Schizosaccharomyces pombe: one gene and its partners. Changing the gene in region 3 together with the main gene of any one other region gives a genetic interaction. Each region holds a gene or a part of one and is shown on either strand. Other genes may lie near its edges. The genes, in order: rad21, rdp1, pph3 and psm3.

What was found.
Region 1: of pph3 (region 3) and rad21, a mutation in one rescues a mutant of the other (synthetic rescue), as found in Schizosaccharomyces pombe (2 studies listed by BioGRID, with this or other methods).
Region 2: mutations in pph3 (region 3) and rdp1 together harm fitness more than expected from each alone (negative genetic interaction), as found in Schizosaccharomyces pombe (2 studies listed by BioGRID).
Region 4: mutations in pph3 (region 3) and psm3 impair growth when combined (synthetic growth defect), as found in Schizosaccharomyces pombe (one study listed by BioGRID).

The regions. Positions count from the first base shown.
Region 1 is NC_003421.2:1,339,725-1,347,569, reverse strand, and holds rad21 (mitotic cohesin complex non-SMC subunit Rad21), read right to left. Parts: upstream 4,678-7,845; 5' UTR 4,479-4,677; coding exon 4,446-4,478; exon of another isoform or gene 4,366-4,445; coding exon 2,512-4,365; 3' UTR 2,177-2,511; downstream 1-2,176. Other genes in the region: F-box protein Pof3, read left to right, coding at 443-2,176; SPOM_SPCC338.18 (uncharacterized protein), read left to right, coding at 5,948-6,301. UniProt on the Schizosaccharomyces pombe protein: Cleavable component of the cohesin complex, involved in chromosome cohesion during cell cycle. The cohesin complex is required for the cohesion of sister chromatids after DNA replication.
Region 2 is NC_003424.3:1,322,491-1,330,772, reverse strand, and holds rdp1 (RNA-directed RNA polymerase (RDRC) Rdp1), read right to left. Parts: upstream 5,833-8,282; 5' UTR 5,768-5,832; exon of another isoform or gene 5,688-5,767; 5' UTR 5,521-5,687; coding exon 1,873-5,520; 3' UTR 1,712-1,872; downstream 1-1,711. Other genes in the region: phosphoribosylformylglycinamidine synthase Ade3, read left to right, coding at 1-1,511; exo8 (exocyst complex subunit Exo84), read left to right, coding at 6,437-6,474, 6,521-6,578, 6,633-6,774, 6,818-8,282.
Region 3 is NC_003423.3:3,953,388-3,959,181, forward strand, and holds pph3 (serine/threonine protein phosphatase), read right to left. Parts: upstream 2,700-5,794; 5' UTR 2,543-2,699; coding exon 2,473-2,542; exon of another isoform or gene 2,358-2,472; coding exon 1,903-2,357; exon of another isoform or gene 1,869-1,902; intron 1,850-1,868; coding exon 1,328-1,849; 3' UTR 1,165-1,327; downstream 1-1,164. Other genes in the region: GATOR1-SEACIT GTPase activating complex subunit Iml1, read right to left, coding at 1-288; CIA machinery monothiol glutaredoxin Grx4, read left to right, coding at 4,117-4,851.
Region 4 is NC_003424.3:1,219,104-1,227,364, reverse strand, and holds psm3 (mitotic/meiotic cohesin complex ATPase subunit Psm3/Smc3), read left to right. Parts: upstream 1-2,506; 5' UTR 2,507-2,528; coding exon 2,529-2,543; exon of another isoform or gene 2,544-2,586; coding exon 2,587-6,156; 3' UTR 6,157-6,396; downstream 6,397-8,261. Other genes in the region: rio1 (RIO family protein kinase), read right to left, coding at 86-1,326, 1,429-1,554, 1,640-1,766; Ino80 complex HMG box subunit Nht1, read left to right, coding at 6,568-6,610, 6,662-6,870, 6,925-7,698.

The DNA of each region.
Region 1 (7,845 bases), on a different chromosome or scaffold from region 3:
GCAAAATAGTAAACACCATATAAGAAGCTATCCTTGCTTTATCTTTTAATCACTTTATTGTTTTGTACTCAATAGTTAAACCCAAATATTTTTTGATCGATTACCGTATGCTAATTTTGCTTGAGATTGTTTACGTGTTTTAACATATGAAAAGCATAACAAATAAGTAGATACTTTTTTTTCCAAACTTTTGGTTACATGCTTATTATTAGTATTTTTGCACATTCAATTTCTGTTTAAATGAAATTTGAAGGCGCTAGCTTTAACTATCCTTTAACAATTCTAACTTACTCCATAAAGCTTGCGACTACGAAAGCATAATATATACCTCAAAAAGGATATCGAGGTTCTTAAAATACGGTTCATTGGAAGCTATATGGGAGGTTTATGTTTATGTATAGAAAAAATAAATCGTTGGGTATAGAAATTAAGATTTGGATTCATGAATAACTATCAAGTAAAAGCAATAAAGGAGAAGACCCAGCAATATCTCTCTAAAAGGAAGTTTGAAGATGCATTGACATTCATTACTAAAACCATCGAACAGGAGCCCAATCCTACGATTGACTTGTTTGAACTAAGGGCTCAAGTTTACGAAAAGTCAGGTCAATACTCACAAGCAGAACTTGATGCTAAACGGATGATTCATTTGAATGCAAGAAATGCTAGAGGTTACCTACGCTTGGGAAAACTTTTACAGCTTGACGGCTTTGATAAGAAAGCAGATCAATTGTATACGCAAGGCCTGCGAATGGTGCATAAAATGGATCCCTTGAGACCGGTATTAAAAAAAGTAAGCCAAAGATTGAATGAAAGAATTCTTCGGACCAGGCCGGTACTAGATTTGTTTCGCATTCTTCCCCGAGAAGTCCTATTATGTATTCTACAGCAACTAAATTTCAAAAGTATTGTTCAGTGTATGCAAGTCTGCAAACACTGGAGAGACTGTATTAAGAAAGAACCTAGCTTATTTTGTTGCTTAGACTTTTCATGCGCCTCTCCTCGAAGTGTAAACTCTAGAGATCGAAACGTTATGGCTGTTGCTCGATACTCTGTTTATTCAAAAGACAATATACAGGAAGTAATTGGCTTAGAGAAGCTTGGTATATTAACACCTACCAAAGCCTTACTTCGTTCAGTCAAATCACTTAAAGTCTACAAAACCATTTCACCTCTCCACACTCAGTCAACGGATAAATTGTATACAATTTGGACGCCATTTTCTGAACTTCACTACTTTTATTGTGCTACTCCTATAACATTTTCCATAGCTTCTAAGATTTTATCTTGCTGTAAGAAACTCAAGCAGGTTGAGCTTGTTGACTTAATTCCCGATTTGATATTTGATTCTATGGATTGGGATAAACTCTTTAATGCAGAATCTGTACCGCTGGCTCTTAAATCTTTGACGTTTATCCGAAATCAAAAGTTTCCCTTTCACCATAAAGAACAGCAATTTCTTAAAGACTTGCTGTCTGCCAGTCCATATTTAGAATATCTGGAAGCCTCATATCAGTCAGACCTAGTTGCTGCAATAAAAAAATATAAAATTAATCTCCGATCGTTAATTATCATTGATGAAGGAGTATCGAATACTGTTAAAGATCTAGCATTCCTTCCTCAATCTCTTACCACGTTAATTGTGAAACCCTGCAATCCTGCATCTACAATTTTATGTCCATATTTATTCCCTACAAATGTCCGGATGGAATCACTAATCAACTTAGAGTTATTTCTTTATCTTCGTTTATCTCAAAATGATATCGATAATGTTGTCAAATTTTTGACTTCTTGTTACAAACTAAAAAAGCTGGTTCTACACGATTCGCTAGCATTGGCCCCCCATTTCTTTGAAATATTTGCATCTTTACCGGAACTTGAGCATCTTGAGATTCCTGATAACGTTGCTCTTCAAAATAAGCATGCAATACACATTACTGATTGTTGTCCAAATCTAAAGTATGTGAACTTTTCAAATTCAATATCCCTCGATGGATCGGGATTTATAGCAGTTTTACGAGGACTGAAAGAATTAAAACGTATAGATATTATTAATTGTGATTCTGTTTCTAGAGATGCAATAGATTGGGCGCGCTCCAAAGGTATGCAAGTTACCGTAGCTTCCTCGCTTCCAAATTCTCAACCATTGGGTACAAAAAAGATACGCCTAATATAATATGATCATATTGTCTTTATATATTCAATCCTAGTAAACCCGTATCATCGCATTGAAAGGAAGATTTTTAAGAGATAGATCAATCATTGAGAATAAATTAAAAAGCGCGTAAGCTATTTCTAATCATAACTTTGTGTTGAGCTGATAATATTACATACATCCAACAGTAATATCGTAACTCGGAAAAAGAAAGACATACAACTCGTGATTCCAAAAATAAAATAAAGATAAAAGAAAGCAATGAACAATATTACTGTCATAAAAATCTATTTCGTGTAAGTATTCACACTTATTTATAGATCTAATTGGATTTTGAAAAAATATTAACCGACCTCTCATAGTGATGAAAGTAGCATTCCACGTTTAGCAGTAAGCGTGATTTCGTTCTGAATGGCAACATCCTGCTTGACAGATATAACATCCTTCGTCGCTAAAACGAGGACATCAAAGAAAAGTTGAACAGCTTCCTCTCTATTGCATCCCGCACTAAGAGTTTGGAAGGATACTTTTTCACCTTCAGTATAAGGATCCCACTTATTGCGTAGAGAATCTTTGGCTGTTTGTGAACTAGGAAGGGCCTCAGATACCGAAGAGTCCAATCGTTCGCTTCCCAGCAAATCGGCCTCGTCCAGCATTACGGGAGGAGCGTCAAAAAGTGAATCATCGGCTGATTCCAAGGCAGTAACAGGAAATCCCATTGGCGAACCAAGCTCAGGAGCTTCTCCTTCTGGTTGAACAACGGTTTCTTGTGGTAAAGTAGCGATAGCGGCTTCAGTAATGTTGGCAAGCTCAGCGGCTGCAATTTCTTCAGGGTCCAAGACTTCAGCAGTTTCTTGGTTTTCAGTTGAGGTATCAGTACGTTGGTGCTTGGCAGGCTCGACTTCCTCTGGGCTCTCATTTTTTCTCTTTCTTAGAATTGCCTGTTTGAAATCAGCTTGCAAAAGCTCGTTTACTTTAGGGTTCAGGTTGGAAGAAAATATGGAAGTATTAAATTTACCGTTTCGAGTAAAATTAACGGTGGCATTAAACACGATGGAAGATGTATTCAAGCATAACGGTGAGGTGATGGAAGATGTATCTGCCAATTGTTTTTTCATTTGCTTGGAGGACAATTCAGTAACGGGATCAATAATTGCACGTTGACGACGTACAGTTTTCTGTGGATTGATCTTTTCCTGTTGAGGAGCAGTGGCGCTTTCAACAACCTGACCTTCCTCTACTCCTGCTGCTGCAGGACGAGATGAATCATCTTCCATAATGTCAGAAGGGAGATGAATACTTGATGTTTCAGCTTGTTCATCAGCCTCTATCGCCGGAGCATTAGCACCTTGTTCATCTCCTAAAAGATCATCTAAGCCCAAATCCAGGTTTAAATCATCAACAGGAGCCAACAATTCATCATCCAATGAAGTTCCTCCTATTGGTAGCATGCTTGGCGTACTAAAATGAGTGACTGAACTAGCCGGCGACTTAGTCATTTGAGGCCCAATAATTCCACTTAAATCGGTGGCAGCAGCAGCAGGAGCATCTCTACCTACTTCTATAGAAATTTGGGACTGATTATCAGAGTGCACACTTCTAGGTGTAGCAGCACCGGAATTTGAAATGGGAAGATGAAACTGCATATCATTGCCAACATGTGCGAATGATTCGCCCAAGGAAAACCCTGATTCTACTTGGGCATTTCGTCCAGCCTCAATTGATAGCTGGGAAGATGGAAAAGAAGGAGAGGAAGATATTGGTAAAGAATGTAGTTCAAGAGTGTTCGAAGAACGAGAGGGTGTACGAAGAAGTTGAGACCATTGAAAATCAAATGTACTATCAGGTACCAAAAGATCAAACTCTGTAATTGTCTCAGGAAGAGTGAGATTAGCGCTCTGTGTCACAGCATCTTTACCTTTTAAAGATTGGAGAGCAGTAGCTGGTTCAATCATATCAACCTGACCCGGTTGAAAGGACATTTTCAAACGCATCAACGCTTCCGTACAATCCTCCAATAAATACCTAGCCTTTCTGGAATAAATGCGAACAACACCCAACATTAGTTGTCCTGATAGGCGAAGGGCCATTGGAGCGGTTTCCTCCGTGACAATTGCATGGACGCTTTGCTCAATACTGGTGTGCAAAGTTTGCACTTTGGAAAGTTTCTTTTCCCAGTGAGCTGCCAACCATACCTTGGCCAAAGGACCCTAACGCGAACAGTTAGTCAGACGATTCAAAGACAAATTAGCACTGTTTACGCGCTAAAGAAAACTTATAAACTACATACCTTTTTTGAAAGAATGGCCTCTGAATAGAACATAAGAAGCTTAATATGATTAGGAGAAAAAGATAGAAAGAAATTAAAGAGTAAAGACAAAAAAAAGAGGGGAATCAAAAAAGAACAAAAATAAACAAAAAATTAATAAATATTAAAATGAAAGAAATGCTTTCTTTCGCAAAATTCGCCTCCTCACTACGATATAAGCTGGGTATTTGTAAAAATGAATATACGTGGTGCTGGTTAAATGAGTACGCGCTGCGCGTAAATAAATCCACGTTGCCATGCCGACAATGAATATGATACATAAACAAACTAGTATGTGTAGCAACAAATAGTTAAATAAATGAATAAAAAAAGCTTGTATTGAAGTTAGAAACTGTTGAGCATGATCAAGGGAATATGCTTCCTCGAAGAAGTTGATTTATCTTTGTTATATGCTTGTATGTTTCGGCCTACTAACTGTATTATAAAATGATGCGCTAGATTTACGTTCACATATGTGCATAGAAGGCAACAAAAGGCATTTGAATTATGTTATTCAATTAAAATAGTCATAAGACATAAGGGGATATGTTTTTCAATAAAACGGAAAACTCCGATTACAACCTTGTTTTAACAATCTTGAGTTAAATTTTGACCATCCTTATTTTGGAAGCATTATCCTTCCATTGAATACATTTATCAAATGAATTCCATTCATTAATTGCATCTTCAATGCCATTTTTTCTGTATGATTAAATAGACTCGTAAAAGGATGTTTTCATCCCATTTTAGTAATGTCAAAACACATTACATTAAACGAATATGTAATAGAAATTACCACGACTGAAAATTTATTTTATTTCTATTATATTATTGTCAAAATTAAAAGGTTGATTGTGACTCGTATGCCAGAAGAAGGTTAATGAATAAAAATACTTATAAAAATAAATAAATTTTTTTTTTTTGGGTAGGGTGTTTTTTTTTAACGATAAACCCCATCCAGATAAATTCGATAAACAAGCTAATTTATTTAAAAAATCAAACAAAAAATAGAAAAAGGAATAGACAAGAATTCCATCCATATTCGTCTAGCAAATTCGATTTTTCCATTTCCCAATAGTGGACACTGCGCAAAACAGTTCCCGTATGTTTTAGTGAAGGGGAATTCGAGTTTGACTGTTGGAAGAAGGCAATTCGCTCATAAATCATTTTAATAAATAAAATGAATGTATAGCATTATTTTCGCCTCTGCAGAAGTTTAATGTCATTGTTCATTGTTGGCAATATCCAATGTGGGGGAAGGCGTAAATAAAATGAATACGTATATGTTTCTAACCTTGATTCTTGACTTTTCCCAACAACGGTTCACTGACTTTAAAAGAGAAAAAGTATAAATTACTAAAGCAATTGTTACATTTAAATAGATTGCTAAGGACTATTGTCTAATAATACAACAGTTACCTTTATTAACGTTTATTTTTCTTTTGGAACACATTGAATATTAAACTAAATTGCCACAAAACAAAATGACTGAACAGAATATCGATATCAAAAGAGAATTGAAGGATGAATCTCCAATTGGGCAATCTCCACATCTAGAAAATGATGGTCGTCCTAGTCTTATGTCGCGCTATAGCTACTCGTCTATTGAAGAGGTATCCAAAGAGGGCTATCAATGGTTTAAACATCAAAGTGTATTTCTTAAATTTAGCCTAATTGTACTTTTATTCTCGTTGATGTTTAGTTTGACGTTTGGTTCGTTGCTTGGATTAATTAGCCTTGCTTTGGGCTTTCCTAGTGTGGGATATCGTTATGTGCTTCTGCCCATATTAAATGCATTATTGAACCGTTTAAGACTTAATTCCTCCGGTTTGAAGTAGTACGAAAAGCTTGATTTCTTTGGGTCTCCCGTTTCTGCTTTTTGTGTCCGAATTCAAAATGAATCATCATAAAAAGACAGTGTTCTTGTTTACCTGAAAGCGATGAGTAACTTACCCTGTTGTATCTTAGTTTACGACGATCCTTGTATAACGACTGGAAAATAAAAAAAAAAAGTCAAAAAACTGTGAATATAATAAAAAGTGATTTTTTACTTGTTTAAATTACAGCCTAACCTGTTGCAACCTTTCAATATTCTTTCCATCTTCAAAACTACTTACCCACCCTTACCTACTTGTTTTAACCGTGTCGCCATTTTTTAACTGCCAAAATTACGGGCGAAACTCCAATACCACATATTCCCTTTTATTAATTTATTTAGCAATTATGATTTAATACAAATTATCTTTAAGATCTTCAAGCTCCTTTTGTTACTAAAGTTACGTTTTGCTTGATAGGCCTAAGTGAGTTTATCTTCATCTGATAAGAAGATAGCACTTTATTCTCCAGAGGATTCTGACTATTTCAAAAAATGCACAATTATTAGCAGTGCCTATTACTCTTTGTTATGCCTTTTATATTGAACGAATTATTGAATAATCATGACTATAAATCTAAAATATACCGTATTTGCTGATTTTAATAGTATACTTTTCCCTAGAGACCCAGCTTTTTTAGTTAAACATTAAGACTATAAACAAAAACAGGCTTTTACTAATAGCTCGACGTACATTATTTGGGTTAAGAATTCTTGATGCAGTTAGATGCAGAGATGGTTTTTTTTAAGCCATAAACGTTCATCTTGTAACCCTTGATTGTTTTTTTGATGGATTCTAATGTGCTTGAGTGCGTTATATGTTTAACCATTTTAACATATGAGTGTAGATGGAGGTTGAGCCAATATGTATAAAAATAGACATTTCTGCTGGACTTGAGTTCGACTCCAAAATTCTTTCAACACGTAACTCACATTGCCGCGATTACCTTGTAACCTACAAAAAATACTCAATGCTACATGGTCCTTCAGTTGGCAAAATGTATTGAGAAACCCTACAGTTCCTTTTCTTAAGCAAGCTGCTTAATTGAGCCTGCTACAGAGAGTCGTACCCATACCATACCCATGTACGCTATATCAGCCCACTACATATTAGTGCAACCAATATCATGGATGAAACAACTATGATTTCGCGGATGTTTTAGCACAGCAATTATCACTTAAAATCTATACCCAGATATCCTTTTGTTTTCCAATAGTCGATGATGATTCCTCACATTCAGCAATTATTGAGACGCTGACAAATGGACTTGAGCGTCTGTCAGCCAGTTTTCCGTGGCTAGCTGGTCAGGTTGTTCACGAAAGTTCAGAAGGAAAAAGCTTTAATATATTCAAGATTAAACCGTATGAGAAAACGCCTCCTTTCTTTGTCAAAGATCTTCAGCATGTCCCTTCTATACCCTCCATGGACGCGCTCAGAAAAGCCGATTTTCCTTTCAGTATGCTGAACGAAAGTATTTTCGCACCTCGCAAAACGATTCCAGGAGATCC
Region 2 (8,282 bases), on a different chromosome or scaffold from region 3:
CTCCTGTTGATGATCTTTATTCCATTTGGACTCCGCAATTACGTAAAGTTGAGGACATCGGATCCACCTCATTGATTTTTATTGATTTAGCAAATGGAAAACAACGTTTAGGCGGTTCTATACTTGCTCAGTCCTATAAGCAGTTGGGTGATGAGGTGCCGGATCTTGATAATTTAGACACTTTCAAGAATTTCATTAACGTTATTACTCAACTGCATAAAACCAACTACATTCAGGCTTATCATGATAAGTCTGACGGAGGTTTGTTTGTTACTCTTAGTGAAATGGCTTTTGCCGGTCATGTTGGTATTGAATGTGAGTTAGATTCTTTGTCATCCGATAATATTGCGGCTTTGTTCAATGAAGAATTAGGCGCTGTAATTCAAGTTTGTGATCGTGACATTGCCAAGGTATTGGAGTTATTTGCTGCTAATGGTTTGAGTACTTGTGTTCATCGCATCGGTAAAGTACTTTCCGGCCAGGCTCAAACAATATCTTTTAGCCGTTCTGGTAAAATAATCTTCAAATCAACTCGCTCTAAATTACACGGAATTTGGCATGAAACCTCTTATAAAATGCAAGAAATTCGTGACAATCCTGAATGTGCACGACAGGAAATGGAAAATATTGCCGATAATAATGATCCTGGTTTAGGATACCACCTTACATTTGATCCAAATGTGTCAGTTACCGCTGATTTGGCTTTAACTAGTCGTCCCAAAGTAGCAATTCTTCGTGAACAAGGCGTAAATGGTTATTTGGAAATGGCATATGCTTTTTATGCATCCGGTTTTACTGCCGTGGATGTTCACATGACTGATATCCTCAGCGGTAGAGTTCATTTGGATGATTTTGTCGGTATTGCTGCTTGTGGTGGGTTTTCTTATGGTGATGTTTTAGGATCTGGCAATGGATGGGCTACTTCCATCCTTCTTCACGAAGATGCTCGTAATGAGTTTTACCGTTTCTTTAACGAGCGTAAAGACACATTTGGTTTGGGTATTTGTAATGGATGTCAACTGTTCAGTCGTCTGAAATCACTTATTCCAGGAGCTAAAAGCTGGCCTATGTTTACATTTAATGAGTCAGCGCAATACGAAGGTCGTGCAGTTATGTTAAAGATCGATGAAACAAGTGGTTCAAAATCCATTTTCACTGAAAGTATGGCTGGATCTAGTTTACCCGTGGTCGTTGCCCATGGAGAAGGTAGAGCTGTTTTCGATTCAGAGTCCGATTACGAACAATTTAAGAAGGAAGGTTTGGATTTGATATACTACGTTAACAACTACAACGAGCGTACTAGCCGTTATCCATTCAACCCTAATGGAAGCAGAGATGCTATAGCTGGTGTTCGCTCCCCTTGTGGTCGCTTTTTAGCTATGATGCCTCACCCTGAACGTGTAGTTTTGAAAGTTGCAAACAGTTATTACCCTCATTCGAAAGCTAGCGAGTGGGGCGTTCATGGTCCTTGGATCCGTCTTTTCCAATCTGCTAGAAAATGGGTTGGTTAAAGCATTTATCTTGCCCGGAGAAGCTGAATTGGAGTTCACATGCCGTAGTTTCTTTACAGTTTTGGTTTGTTTCGTGTTACAAAATTTTATAATTATTCTACTTAAATTAATGGTGAAAATTAGATTAAGCTTGGCAGATATAAAAATCGTTAATTATACATTATTACGATTAAATTGCTTTAACCATCGAGTATATGTGTAAAAATTATGACAACTCTTTTCCTTCAGCAGAAACATACAACAGTCTTGTTAAATGTTAACTCTAGCTACCTGTTTTGCTGTTCTATGTTCCATTGTCGATAATGAGTACAATTACTATTAGCCTTTTACGAGCAATTAAAGCTTCGAATGTATATTCGATTTAAAAATTATTAGCAGTAAGCATGGCTTTTCGTGAAAGCTGACAAAGACGACTAGAAAATAAATATGGAAATGAAATCAATACCTCAGTAGTGCCATTGCCAACAGATTTGACACGTTGATCGTATGTCACATCGTAAGTGGCAGCAACCGCACTGTTTATCCGTTCTTCATATTCCGAAGAATCAAATGCCGATTGATTTGATAAAGCGCATTTCTCTAAGTACTCTTGAGTGTATTTTTTCTTTAGAAGGTCGAACTGAAAGCTAACTTCCTCCCTAAGACCATATTCATTTACGGTTTTAGCTAAATCATCTTTAAAAAGGATAAAAGCTGTGTAAACTTCATATTCTGTGGAAATATCAAAACGAGCCATAATTGATCTCAGGTCATTATCATAGTGTTTCTTCACTTCTTCAGCTACATTCAGATATTCAGTTTTAAACCTTGGAAGTTTCATACAAGGATCATAAACAGTATTCATTATCGGATTATAAGTTGCAGGTCTGCCACTTTCTCTTTGGAATCGTGCAGCGTATCTGAAAATTTTGCCAACCGCGGTTTCGGAACGAAAAGAACGAGTTTTTGTTTTTTGCATGAAGTCAGGATATCGTTTGGGATGGTATTTGGCTTGCATTTTACAAGCTACTCCCGATTTAGCAAAATCTACAGCTTTTGAATGCATTTCTGCAAGTTCTAAACACACATTTCCAAATATCCCTTCCGGATTATTATCATGGTCATGGGCCCATGCCTTCCAAGCATTTGAAATTAGACCTAGCGAATCATATTTTATATAATTCACAAAAAATTCTTTTACCGAATCGATAAGTGGCTTTCCTTCCAAAAAATCTATAGACTTCTTGGGAGATGATTCAAGCAATGGGGGATAATTAACAATTTTAGGAAGAAGACGTTGATCCCATATAACTGTGTACTCATCCCCATCCAGATCACCACCAGAGCACATAGCAGGAATGCTTCGATCACCCGTTGTCGGAAACACTATCACATTTTTTAAATGCATAAGCTCATCGCATCTGACAGCTTTACAGACACGTACGTCACCTGGATGAAGCGAGGGATTCCTTGCAACAATACACAATCCAACTATAACCCTTGTTTTCAGCTTTCCAGTTGAATATGAACCAAAACTGGTAGAAGTGTCGGTAATTTGGATGAAAATTTCAGGTACTGACAAAACAGCATCATCATAATGACCCTTTAGTGTTCCAGTTTCATCAGCTACACCAAGTAAATAGGCACCCTTTGGAACACTAACTTTTTGTTTTTCCTTAATTAACCTAAGAACCCATTCATAATATAGATTTAATAAATTCTCGGTGAAAGCATCATCTCTTTCAAGGAAACCGGCCTGGATAAAATCAGCAATAATTAAAGTAGAGTGATATTCATCTACGTTGTCCCGTAACATTAAAATGGATTTTTGTTTGCTGTTTATCGATTCGTTCATTTTTGACAACTGACTTCTAGTCAATTCCAAAAATACGGTTTTTTCAACCCCGAGTCCTTCCAATAAGGTGATCAGTTGCATATTCAGATGGGCATTTGAAAATCGAGATATTTTAATAACTTCCAAGGTACTATGGAATGATTTAAATTTATCTTGACTACGGCGTGGAAACACAAGATTTCCTTGATGGTATTCAAGCTTAGTCGGAGGAGCTAAAGATAAAACGCCTTTATAACCACCCATACGAAATTGAAACGCAGAGGGAAACATATCATGATTTTTTACTTCCAAAGAAAGTCTTCGAATTACAGATAATGATGCCATTCCAACCCCATCAGTAAAGCAGTGGTTGTTACGAACAATATCATCCTGAAGGGATATGTCAACACAAAATCGATTAATTTCCTTTGTCGTTGAAAAGCATTGTCCCATCCTTGCTGCATACTTAGATACTGAATTGATTTCACTAAAGTCACCCATCCATTCCCTGATCTGTTTGGCATTTAGATCAGATCCCGAAGCAAAAAAGTAAGCACCATGCTCTCTTAATTGAGAATTTCCAAAAGCTAAAAATTCGTAAATTTGATTACCAACTTTAATTCCGTAGGTTAATAATTGTTGGATGCGAGAATACAATTTTTCATTTCTAAACCCATCAGAACCGCCTCGAATTTTTTGCTTATAGTATTCATCAGTTATTTGCACACGCATAAAACGGTTTGCAAAGTCCTTAAAATTTCTTATAACACGATTTCCTGCTTCTAATGAGTCTTCAACTATTCGAAGAGTAGTAGGTGTAACGTACAATTTTTTAATGTGAATAGAAGAAGCGGAAGATAAATCGTAAAAGACAAAAGACTTAGTAAAATCTAGCTCAGAAGGATTTATTAAAGCGGTTTTGGACGTTAGAATTAGTCTTAGGAATTTTTTTGCTCTCTCTTTCGATAATTTCTTTAAATTCGCCAATATAATGGGCAAATCAATTTCTGATAATAAGTTTTTAGAAAGGCAAGCCTGCAAAAGATAAGCAATCTCTTCCTCAATTTCTTTATCATTTATTAGACTACAGCGATGTTTGTAGTCTGGGACAAGATGGAAAACCACTTTATCAAGTTGACTTTTCAAATTGAATTTTTCCAAGTTGTGTAAAAGAAAGGCAATGTCATCTTTATCAGACTCATCCCTTATGGAAAAGCTAAGGACTAAAACATTGCAGCGTCCAATGGGGGCGTTATGGCAATTAAGTAGCTCTATAGGACTAGCAGTCGTTGGTGAAACATTGAAAGGTAGAATATCATAATGTCGTCTCCAAAGATGAGATGCAGTCCAGAAAGTTTGAACTCTGGATTCAGTTGCATTTTTAGATTTTCTGAAAATTAGTGGAGAAAATCTAAATCTAAATACGAGGGAAATATGATCATCGTAATAATCCGTCCCTACATCGCCTATTATGGAATGAAAATCGAAGTCCAGACGAAAGGTTTCGATCTGTTTGTCAAAAGAAGCATCAAAGAGAACACAGAGCTTTTTGAAATTAAAATATACAAGTAAGTTTGATTCAGTTACAGTTATTCCACAATCAACACCAAACAGTGGGACAATTCTTTCATCATAAACTTGCCCGAGCTTAAAGGAGGATAACGGGATTTTTACTAGCTGATCGCTTCTAAAACTATTCTTAGAGAAAACTTGTCGGCTGATGTGGGAACGATGTGCTGTTATGTCAATTTGAACAGCTAGATCAACACCTTTGACATTTATTTTCCCATTTGGTTCCCAGAATGGAACTTTGGGAGGAGGAGCAAATTGGACTATTGCAGTAGTACTTGTCTGTCCATTCAAAGGTTCATTAATCTTCATGAATTCTATTGTACCGTAATCATGAAGGGGTTCCCACAAGTTGTATAGTTTTCCTCCCTCATTTGAAAGCCAAGTAACTGGAATATCTTTTATGACAAGTGTAATCATATCCCCCAATCTCCAAGTACTACTTCTTTGGATTAGACAATTATCATTTCGTTTATTAGCCGAGTGCAACTGAGCTTCATTATTGTGAACGGAAGCCCATTTCTTTTGCTTTTTGTTTCTATATGGGACTCTAAGTCTTTCCCAGGGTGACTCACGAGAATAACGTTTTAATTTAACACTTATAAAGTCATTTAACGAAACTGCCATTGCTTTACATTGCCATACAAAATCTGGATTTAATTATAACCCTGACAACAAATCAATTTGGAACCTTTTGTAAAAATAAAACACTAAATCTCATAGCGCCTTTATGCAGTATCAGCAGCCTCGCTCTGCGAAGTGGTCTTTTATCATAGAAGATTCCTTTCAGCTGGCTATAAATTCGTTAGATACGAAAAACCTTCGATTTATATAAAAAAGATTATAATGTTCCTATTTATCCACTTATACATACATGTATATGTGTGCCTTTTTAATTTAATTGACCGTTATAGTATCAATATCTATGAATTGCTCTTGAAGGAAGTTTGTAGCACGGTGGAATAAAGTTAAGTGAAGGCTCCTTTACGTATAGGGAAGTAGAATCAAAATACTAAGAATACATATTCATCCTATATGAACCGGCAAGTTGAATTTCAGTTTTCAATCCAAAGCAGATATTGAGGTAGTTTTTTCACCAAGGAATAAAAAATTGTTAGGAAACTTCCATCAGTTAAACGACTGATATCATGCACCTTAATTCATGTTCAATATCGTGTTATAATATCTAGCTGATATTTACTATAAATTTATTTTTTAAGCATGGTATATAATTTGAGCTACGTAGCTTTACTCGTTTCAAAATTAAGTGCAGCCCTGATATTCCAAACCCCTCGTCAGCGCTTGATTTTACAAACACGTCCAACTACTTCGGCAAAGCAAACAACTTAATAGATTTTTAAAAATAGAGCAATTGCTCAAGGATAAATTAATTTATTATTCCTATTTGTAAATACCACAAATAGGTTCTTCATTCCCTTATTTTAATTGGTAAATTGTTAAACTTATTTCAAATGTGAAGCATTCAATTTAACATCCTTTAGATACATAATATTTATTCTTCTATCAGAAACTTGAAAAAAAAATGCCTGACAATCCATCTTCTTTTGAAGATGAATTCATGTACGCAGCTAGAGAATATCGGGTGTTTGAGCTAATTTTTTGTTAGGAAATCTAATCATTTAAGTGTTGCTTCGGAGTCCATACCAAATGAAAGCCAAAGACAGGTATGTACTGAAGTTAAATAAAAACAACCTATTACTAAAACTGCTTTTTAAAAGTCACCGACGCGATTACGAGTCGGTACCTCTAAAACAGATGATATTTATCGACAAAAACGGCAAACAAAACATATCATTTCACAAAATGAAGTTTTTTTACAGCCTAAATTTTTCGATAATCAAAATTTTGATGCTCAAAGCTGTATGTGTAATTATGTCTATTGGAAACTAATTTTGCAAAAAAGATTTAAACGATGTTTTACAGGACCTTAGTGAAGATGAATTTGTGTCTTTATACAATAAGCTTCTACGCATTCACATGGGCGTCCGTAAAAATTTGGAAAAGAATTTTTACAAAAATTTGAATGAATATGTATTTATATCAGGGGAGGTTGAGAGCATGACTTCAGATTTTAAAAAGTTTCAGTCTCTGTTGAAAACCCTGGAGACTGACATTGAAGGATTAAACTTGGTCGACCATACGCATGACCCTTCCGACGAATCAATAAAACAAACGGTACAGAGACTACGATCATCCATTGAAGGGCTAGATGAAGCATTCTGGGAAGCGCCTCAAAGACAGCTTATATGTGAGCAATACAATTGGATGTTAATCAATATTGACAATCAGAGACCTAAGCTTCTTGTCAATATGCTTCTGTTTAATGATAGACTGTTGGTTACTACTTCTCACATGAAAGAAGTTGATTTCCCTGCTAAGCAGCAGGTTTTGTATAATTGGAATTTAACCGAAATTTCTATTTCTTCAATTGAAACTTATGGACCAGCAGGTGCTGAAATGCTGCAGAAGGAGAAAGAGGTCTCTCTATACAAACTGTCAATTAACCATAACAATAAGACCACATTGTTGGCAGTACACAATAGTGAAGAAAGGGATTATATGGTTCGTCAGGCTCGCCATCACCAGCTTCAAGAACTAGAAAATTGGTCTAGAAAGCATGATGAAGATCTCGAATTTAGTCGTGAACTAGAATATCATACTAAATCGGAACAAGCCGATATGTGTTCGTATACATCCTTTCAAGTCCTTTGTAAAAATCTGGATACTCAGGACATCCTTCAGGCTTATGCCAAACAGAGAAACATGGTAAAGGAAATATCTATGCAATTTGATCATCTCGACATACAAATTAGCTTACAAGAGTTTACGGATGCTATTAGAAATTTGGCTTTGATACAAAATAAGCTAGAGCGTGGTAATCTAAACGAGTTGTTTGCCGAATTTTTTGCAGATAAACTTCACAATAGAAAGCGAAAGGTGACGGAAATTTTACTTCATCAACTTGGATTTAAAGGAATCAGTCTTTCCCACGGGAAAGAAATAGTTCGTTATTTACGCTCTTTAGGCCATGAAAAGGAGGGACAAGGTGTATTTATGAAGTCTAGGACCTTATTGATTAAAGAAAAGTGTCTGAATGTTCAATTGGAAAAAGACACTCCTAATTTCATCGATGCTTGCGCGTTCATAGTGTTTCGTTGTTTAGCGCAAACTACTAGTTCTTATTTGCAATTATTTGAGTTGAAAAAATTGGATCCCGCTTACAGGAACTGGATTTTTCAGCAAATTGAGGCTCTTGTTGATTTAATAGAAAATCAATATAAACATTTAGCCCACGACAGATCATATACGGACGCCGTTTCAAAAATAATGACTTATAACACGGAATTAAAGGAAGCTAAAATTGATGC
Region 3 (5,794 bases):
GAGCAAAGAGCTTATGTGAGATACAACTGAAAGTTGCAGATTCGGATGTCGCCTCTTTAAATCATCTGTTAAAGGGGAGGGCATCAAATATACTGGTTCTTTTTCACGTTTAGCATGTAGTTTCCCTGTGCTTGAGTGATTATGCTGTAAAGCGATTTCATCACCATTTTGGGCCCTTATTTCAAAAATATCACCAGGTTTAGCAGAAGGTACTAAATCATAATTTAAGACTGCATCGTTTGGAAACAATGATGATTCGTGCGTCCACAGGTTCAAGGTAATAGCCATTTCATGAATTGAACAACCTACGCCATTAAGGCAGTAATCAAAAAATTAAATACAAGAATTGTATCAAAAAAAGAAGTAAATAATCTCTTTACACAACTTTATACGTTTGATTTTGATTAGGCGGATGTTGGGGTAGAGCTGCAAAAATCCAGTATAACACCAAGATAAATTGCACTAGTAAACACAGGTTACTCTTATCATAAAATCAAATAGTAAATGTTGCATTTATAAAGGTAGAGCATAATTGTGTATATTATATGACTCATGACTAAATATTTAATTTAAGGCAGAATGTATACTACTTGCACGAATACTTGATTGTCTAAGACACAATCATTAATATACCAGCAAGCACTTCGTTATCTTTTTTTTTTTTTTTTTTGTGATACTGTATTACTTAGAATTTATTTGAAAAAAATGTTTCTATCATATCGAATGTTTAAGATGTAGGTGTTCTTACGTTTATACCTCGTATATCATTGACTTTATTCTATTGACTTCAATATATGATATTAGATTACAATTCAGTGATTGAAACAGAGGCTGAATTCCAATTGTTTATTTCATTTTTTGGCTAACGGATTTGTTGAATTGGGGTGCAGTCTAAACTACAAAGACTCAAACCAGCTGACTCAATAATGTAATATTAAATTTTCAGCATTAAGCTTAAAAAATGATATTCATCACCCCAGTTTCTGAATTCAGGTTTGAAGTTCGATCAAATGAGGATTAATGTTTGAAAACCGAGCATTTTGCAATCTACTTTAAATTACCTTCAGAAAGCGACTAAACAATCTTGTGCGTTGAAAGTTAGCTTAAAAAAGTTACAATTAAAATTTAACTTAATTACTTTTTAAATTTATGATGTCCTAAACAAATCAATATTGCTAAAATAACCAAATTCCATAAACAAGAATTAAATAAGTGCAGAATTAAAAATGAGAGACCAATAAGAAGAGTTAAGGGGATAATCTTTAGTACAAGTTGACCTATATACATGATATTGGGGAAGTGAAGTAGAGCAATGAATTTTGAATAATCATAAAAAGTAGTCGGCAATGGGTCGTTTTGTTGGAATGCCAGATCTTTCTTGAGAGGCAGTACCAAAAATCTTAAAGGATTGCGTTTGGTTTTCATCAAGTTGTAATATAGAAGCAACATTTCCACATCTGTAACAGTAATTGGGTGCACTCCAAACAGTAACCACGCTTCCTTTATCCTTTTCTGGAATGGTTATTATGTCTCCAGGTGCCGGAGAATCATCAACAGGTGAGGCAGAATCTGAATCCAGCTCAGAGTCCTCTTCATTTGTAAATTTGGGATACTGTTTATCTTTATCGGAAAAATGGATTTTGTAACCCTCCATAACCAATTGATGAGCACGAGCAATGAATGAAAGGTCATTAGCGCGATTAAAAACTTCAGAAACGTCGGCACCAAACAAAAATCCAGCACCTCTGGGAGATAAACCCCATCCACTAATATCTTCTGGATCTGACCAAAGTAGATCACACATTGCTCCTTCATGCGGAACTTCTTGTTTTCGATCCAACAGTCGAATCTTCATAAAAAGCGTTAAAAGTTTAGTTCAAATTTTCGGAATTAATAACATACCTGATCGATACTGCTGATGCTTGGTGAAAGTCCACCGTGCACACAAAAAACCTTTCCATCCACCAAAGCACCAAGCGAAAGATAATCAAATATTTCACAACAATATCGCCATACATTGGCAGAACCATATTTCCTTACACATTCGTCATAAAATCCATAAACTTGTGTTATTTGTCGTGATTCATGATTTCCCCGGATAAGGGTCATCTCTTTCGGATATTTACATTTTAAAGTCAATAACAGGAGAAATGTTTCTACAGAGTAAAACCCTCTATCAACAAAATCCCCTAGAAATAAATATTTTGTACCTGGACATGACCCACCAATTCGAAAAAGCTCCAGTAAATCATGCAATTGGCCATGGATATCACCACAAATGGTTACAGGAGATGAGATCCATTGTATGTTAGATTCCTCAATTAAAATATCTCTTACACGCTGACAAAGTTCAACAACTACCACAAAACGTTAGACCCCATTCTTATAATTATGGCAAAGAACAACCAATATGAATGATCGTTGTTATATCGACGGAGATAAAAGTTATTCTATAAATACTATTATACATACCATTTGATTCTGGAATTAACCTTCCGTTCTCCAGTTCCTCAAGTTGCCAATCCAAATCTAAATCAGTCATTTTGAACTCGTCAAAACATAAAGTAAAGAAAACTAGAATAACTTGGTCCTTTAGAATAAGAAAATAAACAAGTGAAATTCTTTTTCAACTTTATGTATCATTTAAGAAATTTAATTTTAAATAAGTCAAAATACCTCTGTCAAGAGGTATGACGCGTAGAGCTTTGGTGACTAAAATTCGGTTTTCCTTTTGATAATGACTTTTAAAATAATTAACATGACCTCCTTAATTAGCAGCTTCCGAATTTTATTGACACATACGTTGCGTTACGCTAGATTGTTTTTCAGAAAAATACGGTTGCTCCACCATTATTAGTGCTTTCATCTCGAAATGAAATGGACACAAGTTTTTGTATTAGATTGTTTTTTTTTAATCATTTATACTTAAAATTAATGATGAACTAGAATCTTTTAATTAAGTTGCATGCTACTCCAGTATGATTATTATAGCATGCCGTATTATCATTGATCTTGAGTTTTTATAACGCTAATACAAGAACGTGCACCTACTCATATATATATCTAGATTATAAGAAAAACTCCTATAGTTCTAACGGATCTAAATTGTTCGCACAAATGCGCAGCTTTGATGTTATAGGGTTTTTGTGAAATAAACTACATAACACTATAGCTTCTTGGTAAAAATCAGATAACACTCACAATTATAGGTAAAATAATCTGTATGCTGAAGGCGTACCCCTGTGGCGGAATATACACTCAATATAGAAAAACTGTATAGTCAATTCGTGTTGCAAACCCATAATTTATGTGAAGCTTTAACATAATTTGCATACTATTCTTTACTTATGTTCAGTCGGCAACTCAAGATGTTCAAATAACTAAAAAGATTTTAGAAATATATTCTTTCTATCTTTCAATATGGTTTACTGCAATTTGCGTACTATCAAAAGAATGAGGTGTGTAAGAAATGCTTGCCCTGAGCAGTACAATGCAATTTTTTAATACTTTAACTATATCAATCAATGTGTATGCTGTTGTTTTTATCAAGTATGAAACATATCTCATCTTGGTTGTTTTGGTCGCTTGTTATAAACTCATTTGGCTAGTAAAGCGACTGTTAATTTTATGTACAACATACAAAAATAAAATGTTAACAGAATTGTTTGGGTATTACGTAGAATCGGAGTATAAGCGCAACACACTAGTTTTTTTTGCCGAAAAAATTATTTTCCAGACGTTTTAATACCGAGGGATAAAGTTATCTGATCAGTCACGATGGTAATTAAAAAAATGAGATCGAGAATGCCGTTTAATGAATAGACAATGAAAAAAGTGAAGAAGAATCATCAAAACGTACATCAAAAGTGGTTTAACTAAAAAATTTCGAGTAATTTACTTGGATATGTTTTTTGCTGCAATTATATCATTTGCGTCGCCTATTGTGCAAGGAAGAGATTTTACTAGATACGTTTTCTACACTGCTCAGCCGAACCTGCCGACAACCAACTAGGAAAAAATAGGGCGTTGATTGTTGATTAAAAAGAATAAACTAGGTTTTTGAAAAAAAAAGTAGGAAAAGAAATAATTCCTCAAGCTGTGCTATTTTGATTGGAAATGAGCGTCGAAATTACTTTTGTTGAACAATTTCAAGAGATATTGCAAAATGGAAAAGAGCAAATAATTTTACTCAATTTTTATGCACCATGGGCTGCTCCATGCAAGCAAATGAACCAAGTCTTTGATCAATTTGCAAAGGACACGAAAAATGCCGTTTTCTTAAAAATTGAAGCTGAAAAATTTTCCGATATAGCAGAGTCGTTTGATGTAAACGCTGTTCCTCTATTTGTTTTAATCCACGGAGCAAAAGTTTTGGCTAGAATTTCGGGGGCAAATCCTCAAAAATTGAAGGCTGCTATTGACGAGTATATTCAACCCCTTATCTCCCAAATATCCTCTACCAACGCGTCCGTGGAAACTCAAGTAAATTCCGTTCAGACTACCAACACTACTTCCAATACCTCTAAAGCTCCAAATGGGTTGGATTCTGAACTAAATGAAAGGTTGAGCACGCTAACAAATGCTCACAATGTTATGCTCTTTTTAAAGGGTACTCCTTCAGAACCTGCATGTGGTTTTAGTCGTAAGCTCGTTGGATTACTTCGTGAGCAAAACGTTCAGTATGGATTTTTTAACATATTGGCTGATGATTCTGTACGCCAAGGTCTTAAAGTGTTTTCCGATTGGCCAACTTTCCCTCAATTGTACATTAAAGGTGAATTCGTCGGTGGTTTAGATATTGTTTCGGAGATGATTGAAAATGGTGAATTGCAAGAGATGCTTCCCAATTAATTGTTATCTGTGCATATGAAGAATTGTACTTTTAATATCCTTAATCATTCTTTTATGTTGATGATTTTGTGAAAGATAACTTTTAAATTGGATAATCAGATAATAATACGATTGCAGATTTAGTTTTCTGTTAATTTAATTTTGTTAACTAACCGCCTCAACTTATCAAAACAAATGTTAATAAAACTATATAACATAAAATGAGTTTAAGCAAGTAAATAACGCATAATAAGCAACCAGGTTAATTAAGAATACACAAAGGAGCCAGAACTACCATTGCAACTATTACTTCGTACACTTTACCATTTAGCAGTACCCCCAAATTTCAGAAAAAATAAACAATTAGAGTATGCAATACAACTGCGCCAGTATCCACACAAAAGAACTAATCGACTACTACACCTTTCTCTACATTTTATTTCACAACTTAAAAACAACAGATTCTCATTCACGAACAATGCCTACTGCTCACATATTACATGAAAACCGAATACTGCTTAGCTCATCATCTACACACTTTTTGACTATGCACATCAAGTTATAACAATTCTCACAAACGATTCACGACAATTGTTACAAAGAAATGTACAGAAAACACGTCAGAAAACACCAGCTGCCCTACATGACACGACCAAAAGGAACATATCATGTAAGAGATCATCGCAAATAAAGATAGCACAACAATTAAGCAAAAAGCCAAATCGATCAGCACATCCTCAAAGAAGTAAAAATTCTCACTCTGCGGGCAACGGTGCCTTCTATCATCATCCGTGTTGAGTTCTGTGGCTAGGTTAGGAAACCCAAGCCGGACGTATACTATAGAAATGATCCTATGGAGTATCGTCGATGGTCTTCAAAATCGCGGACGATGCCTTTTTATAGTAAGTATTTGAAAAAAAGCAGTCACTTGGCTTTGCAAAAGCAGCCAATAATATTGGTGCTA
Region 4 (8,261 bases), on a different chromosome or scaffold from region 3:
TTAGTTATGCTACTAGTTTATGAGTATTGTATAGACTTTTCCAATAAAGATAATTATATAAAATAACCGTAATTTTTTCCCCTGATTACTTTTTTCTTCCAGATTGTTTTAGTTTGCGCTTCTTCTCATACTTCGGAATCTTGGATTTTCTTTTCTCAGCCTTATCTTCTTTGGTTTTTTTTTTCCGTGCCCTCTTCTCCTCCGGTGTCTCCTTTGCACGTCCGTTTCCTTTACCTTGTTTTGCAGATGATTTTGAATCCGAAGTCCGTTCTTCTTCATTTTCCATACTACTTATAGAATTTGCATCATCATCGCTCTCCGAAGTCTCATTTGGGAGGATTTGATCGTTTTGATTTTTTGTAGTGTCATTTAAATCCAATTTTTGAAAGTCTGTATTTAATAAGTGCTTATATACAAGGCTATTAACACCTCCGGCGTTTACGATTTCAGTATCTCGATCAATGTCGTATACCTCATCTAAAGTCCGAGGAACATAAGTTTTTAAGAATTCCTCTTCGTATTCTTCTGTAGTAGGTTCTTCCTCATAAATTGCATTTAACCGGGTTTTCATGGCTTCCTTTTCACAACTTCCTTCTTCAGTAATGAATTTAAATAATTGAGGTAAAGATAAGCAACCAGCATTCAAACGCCTAAAGAATGTAGAAATGTTTAAAATATCCATTCTTAAAAAATCGATGCTCTGCGGGTGGTCATGTTCAACCGATTGTGATACATCAATAAAATAAACTTTACCTTTATGATAAAGTAAATTATATTCTGACAAGTCAGCATGCACGAGATGACAAACATGAAACAAAATACGCATATTCCGTGCTACAAGCTGATATAATTTAGTAGCCTCACCAGGCGTCATATCTATATCCTTTAACTTGGGGTATGCCCATCCTTTCTTGTCCCCCAGAAACGACATAAGCAAAACGTGCTGCTTCAATAAGATTGGCTCTGGGCAAGGAATACCAGCAGCAGCCACACGCTTCAAGTTTCTTATTTCTTTTTCAGCCCATAAGCGTACCATTTTTCGGGGATTGCGCTTGTTATACCCATGACGAAAACGAAATTCTCCAGAAACATAGCGGTCACGATCCTTAAATACTAAGATTGAAGTCTTATAAATTTTTATAGCAAAATGTTTACCATCCTCGTTTGTTGCATGATACACATTTGCTTCCTTTCCCGTGCTTATACAACCATTAATTTCTGATATAGTTCCATTATTTATTAATTTTAATAAAATCATTCGAGTACGGGGATCCAGCACTTGTTCAGATGTAGCGCGGTCACTTTTATCCTTGATAGATGACTTGTCTTTATTTGTCAGTACTATTAAACATGAAAATGTAAAAGTGTGAAGGATCAAAAGACCTCGAGTTCTAAAACCTATGAGCAGTTAAACTATATTACACTTACCCTCTGCCTCAAACCTGTCATTTAATTTTATATTATTCACATAACGACTAAGCGTAGAAACGTGATCATTAACTGAATTGATCTTAGAAGAATTATTCCCAAAATTTTCCTGTCTAGCAGAATAATCTAGTAAAAATGTTATTAATGATCATGAAAAATGGTAACAAAAATTCATGCAAAGTGCTTTTGGCTATTCAGTATATGAACTTACTTGAAGAAGCTTGATTCCAGTCTATATCGTCTTCCCTAAAGTAATCATTGTCAGAGCCATCACTAAAGTCGCTATATTCTGATTCTTCTTCATTTGTCTGTGCATCGTTTTTTAACTCCTCAACCATCTTAAACTTTAAATAAATCAATAAAAGAATAATTTATTTAAAAATTTGACAAAGAACTGGATACAAATCCAAGTTTTTGTATTTTGTAGGTGGTAGTAAAAACTTTTTGTTGTAAATAAAACTGGTATATAAAAATGTAAGAAGTTAGCAAATTATGATTACCATAAGTTACAAGATGATTTTTGCAAACCAATGATTTTTTTTTTAATTTAGTGGATTATATTTTTTCCATTCTTCGATCAATAAAATATATATTACATTTCCAAAAGACATTTAATGTTAGTGTGAGCGGCTTTCCTCATTAAAGCTTGACAATAAAAAGTCAGATAGAAAAGAAACAATACATAAGCTCATATATGCATTTTTTTAAATTCATTACTGAAACGCTGACGCTCAAGAGCAGCTTGCTTATTTAACACTAATGCATACTTGGCATCTAAAAAATCACATACTCAATTAAGCTAGCGCGCTTTCTACCAATTTGATTGTGCATTCCCAGTAGTTTAATAAAGAAATATTATATTTGGAAATTGATGCGGCAGTAAAGAGAAAAGCAAACGATCTTCAGTTAATACAGTTTCATATAGAAAAAACATAACAAAATCAACATCAACAACTCAAAGAATTTCTCATCTTGGTTAGTATGAATGAATTATTATGTTGTAGATTCTTAGAACTCTGTTACCACAAAGATTGATACTTACACGCCATAAAGAAGACACGCGACGCGTAAATACTTTAACCCAAACCAACCACAAATCTATGTATATCACAAAAGTAAGTAAAGCATTATAGAACCCCAGTTAACTGATTTATTAAGATTGTTATTCAAGGGTTTAAATCTTATAAAGATTATACTGTAATAGAGCCTTTAAGCCCTCACCACAATGTAATTGTGGGACGAAATGGATCTGGTAAAAGCAATTTTTTTGCTGCAATTCGATTCGTATTAAGTGATGCGTATACACATTTAAGCCGTGAAGAAAGACAAGCTTTGCTGCATGAAGGCCCTGGTGCAACTGTCATGAGCGCATACGTTGAAGTTACGTTCGCTAATGCTGATAATCGATTTCCCACCGGTAAAAGCGAAGTTGTCTTGCGTCGTACAATTGGATTGAAAAAAGACGAATACTCTTTGGATAAGAAAACTGTAAGCAAGACAGAGGTTATTAATCTTCTCGAGTCTGCTGGGTTTTCAAGATCCAATCCTTACTACATTGTTCCTCAAGGAAGGGTCACATCCCTAACCAATGCAAAGGATTCAGAGCGTTTAGAACTTTTAAAAGAGGTTGCAGGTACTCAAATTTATGAGAACAGAAGAGCTGAATCCAATAAAATTATGGACGAGACAATTCAAAAATCGGAGAAAATTGATGAACTTTTGCAATACATTGAAGAACGGTTGCGTGAGTTAGAAGAGGAGAAAAACGATCTTGCAGTTTATCACAAAAAAGACAACGAAAGAAGATGCTTGGAATATGCTATTTATTCTCGCGAGCATGATGAGATTAACTCCGTATTGGATGCCTTAGAACAAGACCGGATAGCTGCACTTGAGCGTAATGATGATGATTCGGGTGCTTTCATTCAAAGAGAGGAACGCATTGAACGAATTAAGGCTGAAATTACAGAGCTCAACCACTCGCTTGAGCTTTTACGTGTTGAAAAACAGCAAAACGATGAGGATTATACCAATATTATGAAAAGTAAAGTCGCATTGGAATTACAGTCTTCTCAATTATCACGTCAAATTGAATTTTCGAAGAAAGATGAGAGCTCAAAGCTCAACATACTTTCTGAATTAGAGTCAAAAATCTCTGAGAAAGAAAATGAGCTTTCAGAAATTCTTCCAAAGTATAACGCTATAGTATCTGAAGCTGATGATCTTAATAAAAGAATCATGCTGCTCAAAAATCAGAAGCAATCACTTTTGGACAAGCAATCGAGGACTTCTCAATTCACTACCAAAAAAGAACGTGATGAATGGATCAGAAATCAGCTCTTACAGATCAACCGTAACATTAATTCTACAAAGGAGAACAGTGATTACTTGAAGACTGAGTATGACGAAATGGAAAATGAACTCAAAGCAAAATTATCTCGTAAAAAGGAAATTGAAATTTCCCTTGAATCTCAAGGTGATCGAATGTCGCAACTACTTGCTAACATTACTTCAATTAATGAAAGGAAAGAAAATTTGACGGACAAAAGGAAATCTCTGTGGAGAGAAGAAGCCAAACTTAAGTCGTCTATCGAAAATGTTAAGGACGATCTTTCTCGTTCTGAGAAGGCTTTGGGGACTACAATGGATCGGAATACAAGTAATGGTATTAGAGCTGTCAAAGACATTGCTGAACGTCTGAAACTCGAAGGTTACTATGGTCCACTTTGTGAGCTTTTCAAGGTTGATAACCGTTTCAAGGTCGCTGTTGAGGCTACTGCTGGGAACAGTCTATTTCATATCGTGGTAGATAACGATGAAACCGCAACTCAAATTCTTGACGTTATATATAAAGAAAATGCCGGTAGAGTTACGTTCATGCCTTTGAACAAGCTTCGTCCAAAGGCGGTTACTTATCCTGATGCCAGTGATGCTTTACCTTTAATTCAATATTTAGAGTTCGATCCCAAGTTTGATGCTGCGATTAAACAAGTTTTTTCGAAAACCATTGTTTGTCCATCGATTGAGACCGCCTCCCAGTATGCTCGATCTCATCAATTAAACGGTATTACTTTAAGTGGTGATCGATCTGACAAAAAAGGTGCATTAACTGCCGGGTATCGTGATTATAGAAATTCCAGGCTGGATGCTATCAAAAACGTTAAAACATACCAGATCAAATTCTCGGATTTACAAGAAAGTTTGGAGAAATGTCGTTCCGAAATTGAATCTTTTGACCAAAAAATTACTGCATGCTTAGATGATTTGCAAAAGGCTCAACTAAGTTTAAAGCAATTTGAAAGAGATCATATTCCTCTTAAAGATGAACTCGTAACTATTACTGGAGAAACAACAGATCTTCAAGAATCAATGCATCATAAAAGTCGTATGCTTGAGCTTGTTGTTTTGGAACTACATACACTTGAACAACAAGCTAATGACTTGAAATCTGAATTAAGTTCAGAAATGGATGAACTTGATCCCAAAGATGTGGAAGCACTAAAGTCTTTGAGTGGTCAAATTGAAAATCTCTCTCATGAGTTTGATGCCATCATTAAAGAACGAGCACATATAGAAGCAAGAAAGACGGCTCTTGAATATGAATTAAATACAAACTTATATTTAAGAAGGAATCCATTGAAAGCTGAAATTGGTTCTGATAACAGAATAGACGAATCAGAATTGAACAGCGTAAAGAGATCTCTACTTAAGTATGAAAACAAATTGCAAATTATTAAATCTTCATCTTCTGGGTTGGAGGAACAAATGCAAAGAATCAATTCTGAAATAAGCGATAAACGAAATGAATTGGAATCGCTAGAAGAATTGCAGCACGAAGTGGCTACCCGAATTGAACAAGATGCAAAAATTAACGAAAGAAACGCAGCAAAGAGAAGTTTGCTTCTCGCACGGAAAAAAGAATGTAACGAGAAAATTAAATCATTGGGGGTTTTGCCGGAAGAAGCATTTATTAAATATGTTTCAACTAGCTCAAATGCTATTGTGAAGAAACTTCATAAAATCAACGAAGCCCTTAAAGATTATGGAAGCGTTAATAAGAAAGCATATGAGCAATTTAATAATTTTACTAAACAACGCGATTCATTGTTGGCTAGGAGAGAAGAGTTGCGTCGTTCTCAGGAGTCAATTAGTGAGCTTACGACAGTACTTGACCAAAGAAAAGATGAAGCAATTGAGCGTACCTTTAAACAAGTTGCTAAAAGCTTTTCTGAAATATTCGTTAAACTTGTTCCGGCAGGTAGAGGTGAATTGGTTATGAATAGAAGAAGTGAATTGAGTCAAAGCATCGAACAAGACATCTCCATGGACATTGATACGCCATCCCAGAAAAGCTCGATCGACAATTATACAGGTATCAGCATAAGAGTTTCTTTTAACAGTAAGGATGATGAACAACTGAATATTAATCAATTGAGTGGCGGTCAGAAGTCACTTTGTGCTTTAACTTTAATTTTTGCTATCCAACGCTGTGATCCTGCGCCTTTTAATATACTCGATGAATGTGATGCTAATTTAGATGCACAATATCGCTCGGCCATTGCAGCGATGGTCAAAGAGATGTCAAAAACTAGTCAATTTATTTGCACTACTTTTCGGCCTGAGATGGTGAAAGTTGCGGACAATTTTTACGGAGTAATGTTTAATCACAAAGTTTCAACAGTTGAGTCGATTTCTAAGGAGGAGGCTATGGCATTCGTTGAAGGATAAAATGGTTATGGTTTGTTAATTTAAGTTCGCATTTTTCTTTTTAATTTCTTTGCGTGGACAAACCGATCTTTTTGCTATTAGTCATTCTTTCATTAATATCTCTGTTATTTAATTTTATCATACTTAATTTATAATTTTTATATTCATGATGCAATTGCGCTTGAATCAATCAGTGCGTATTACTACCAGAGTTGATACTTTCACATATAGTTTTTTTAAAGTTCTAATCCCAATGGAGAGTCATTTTAATAACTTTTTCCAGATTTCTATTTGTATTCAAAAAATCGAAAGCATGTCGTAGCGTTAAGACTTGTATAAATTCGCTATTTTAGACCTCCAGTCAGTGCTCTTAATTCGCGACAGTACTTACTACATTGTGCGAACAAGATCAAAGGCAGAGCATCTATATCCATGGAAAACCCTCCATACCATGTATCTATTTCCAAATCGGAAGGTGAATATTTTGAAGCTTGATTGATTTTTTCATTTACTAATGAATACTCAGAAATTAAATATCGCCAAAAGTGCAAGGATTTAAAGGCTAGAATTCAGGAGATCCAAAAAGGAAATCAGGAGTTATTAAGCAAATATGAGGTTATTCGAAGAGCTGTCAAGCGTGGCCGATTAGAAAGAGCTATCTTAATGGAACAGTTGGAATTGCAAAGTGAAGCAAAATCTCGCGAATTTGGACAGCGCTCTGAGCCATCTCCTCCTGTAAGTGTTTTTATAGAGTGAATTTATTGTAATACTTGTACTAATCATATGTAGCCTCCTCCCGAAGGTATTAAAATCAAAATATCAACGAAAGGCGCTGGAAACCCGTCTGCCAAGAAGTTAAAGATATCTACAGAAGAAACATCTGATACAAACGTAGCATTAAACAACACGTCGGAAATATCTCATAAATCATCAAATAATTCCCAGCCTAAAGATGCATCCGTCAATGACACAGATGCAGACTTTGAGCAGCAAAATCAAGTTGTTCAATCAAAAGATGAAAAAATTACGAATACTGATCCAATACCTTCTCCTATTATTACAAATCTTAAAACAGAAAGCTCAAAATCATCTGGAGCTAAAAAAGCTACTTCTAATGCCAAAATTACAGACACAATGTTATTCAACCATTTTTCGTCTATTCAAAAACCAAAATTAAAGGCCGAAGGCTCTACCTTGAAGGGACAAGCTTTGAAGAAAACTCTTGAAGATACATGGAATAATTTGACCGAAGAAGAGAAGAAACCTTATCATGAAGGATTGCTTGCAGCGCGTGAGAAGGCCAGAGAAGCAAGACGTCGACGAAGTGCGCAAAATTCAGCAAAACTAGAGAAAGAGAAAGCTAAAGAAAAGCAAAAGGATAAAGATCAAGAACAAGACACTGTTAGTGATAAAAATCAGATAGATGAGATAGAAAAAGGGCAGAAGGAAGTAGATGAAGAACCTGTTTCTGAACCCACCACTTCGCCTATTTTACCTCCAAAAAATCAAGAGCCAATTCGTATGGGAGGATTCACCGTTGTTAATAGATCCTCTAATGCTTAAAAAGAGCTTTCTGATGCAGGCATCAGATCAATGAGGCAATGCTTAAACTTTGTGTCTCAATATTAAAGGTTGGATTAGAAACTAATAGTTTGTCCACAATATATTTTCCTCCTCCTTGCCATTTGCAAAACTTTTTCAAGGTTCCGTTTTCTCTTCACATTATTTACTACCATTTATTCTTTTTTTTTGACTTAAAGTCATAAGATTATCAAAGCAAAAATTTTGAAAGACAATTAAGCGAATGTGTGATTTGAAAGTGGAATTAAGGCAATTACCAGCTGGTTTGTGATTAAACAATGACAACACGAGTTCGATTAATAAGTGTTTAATTTTTTTTTCTTTTTTTTCCAACTTTTTTTTGAAATACTGATTTGGAAAAGAGATTCGTGGTAACGACGAATGATTGTATTTTTTATCAGGGAGAAACTTTTTGCGATTATTTGAATATTTCTCTTCATTCTTTGATAATCTTTAATGATAAACTGTTGTATTTTTTATATATTTCTAACCCCAAGTCCTTTCTTATTTGCTGATTTGGTGTTTATAGAAGCCATCACTGTACG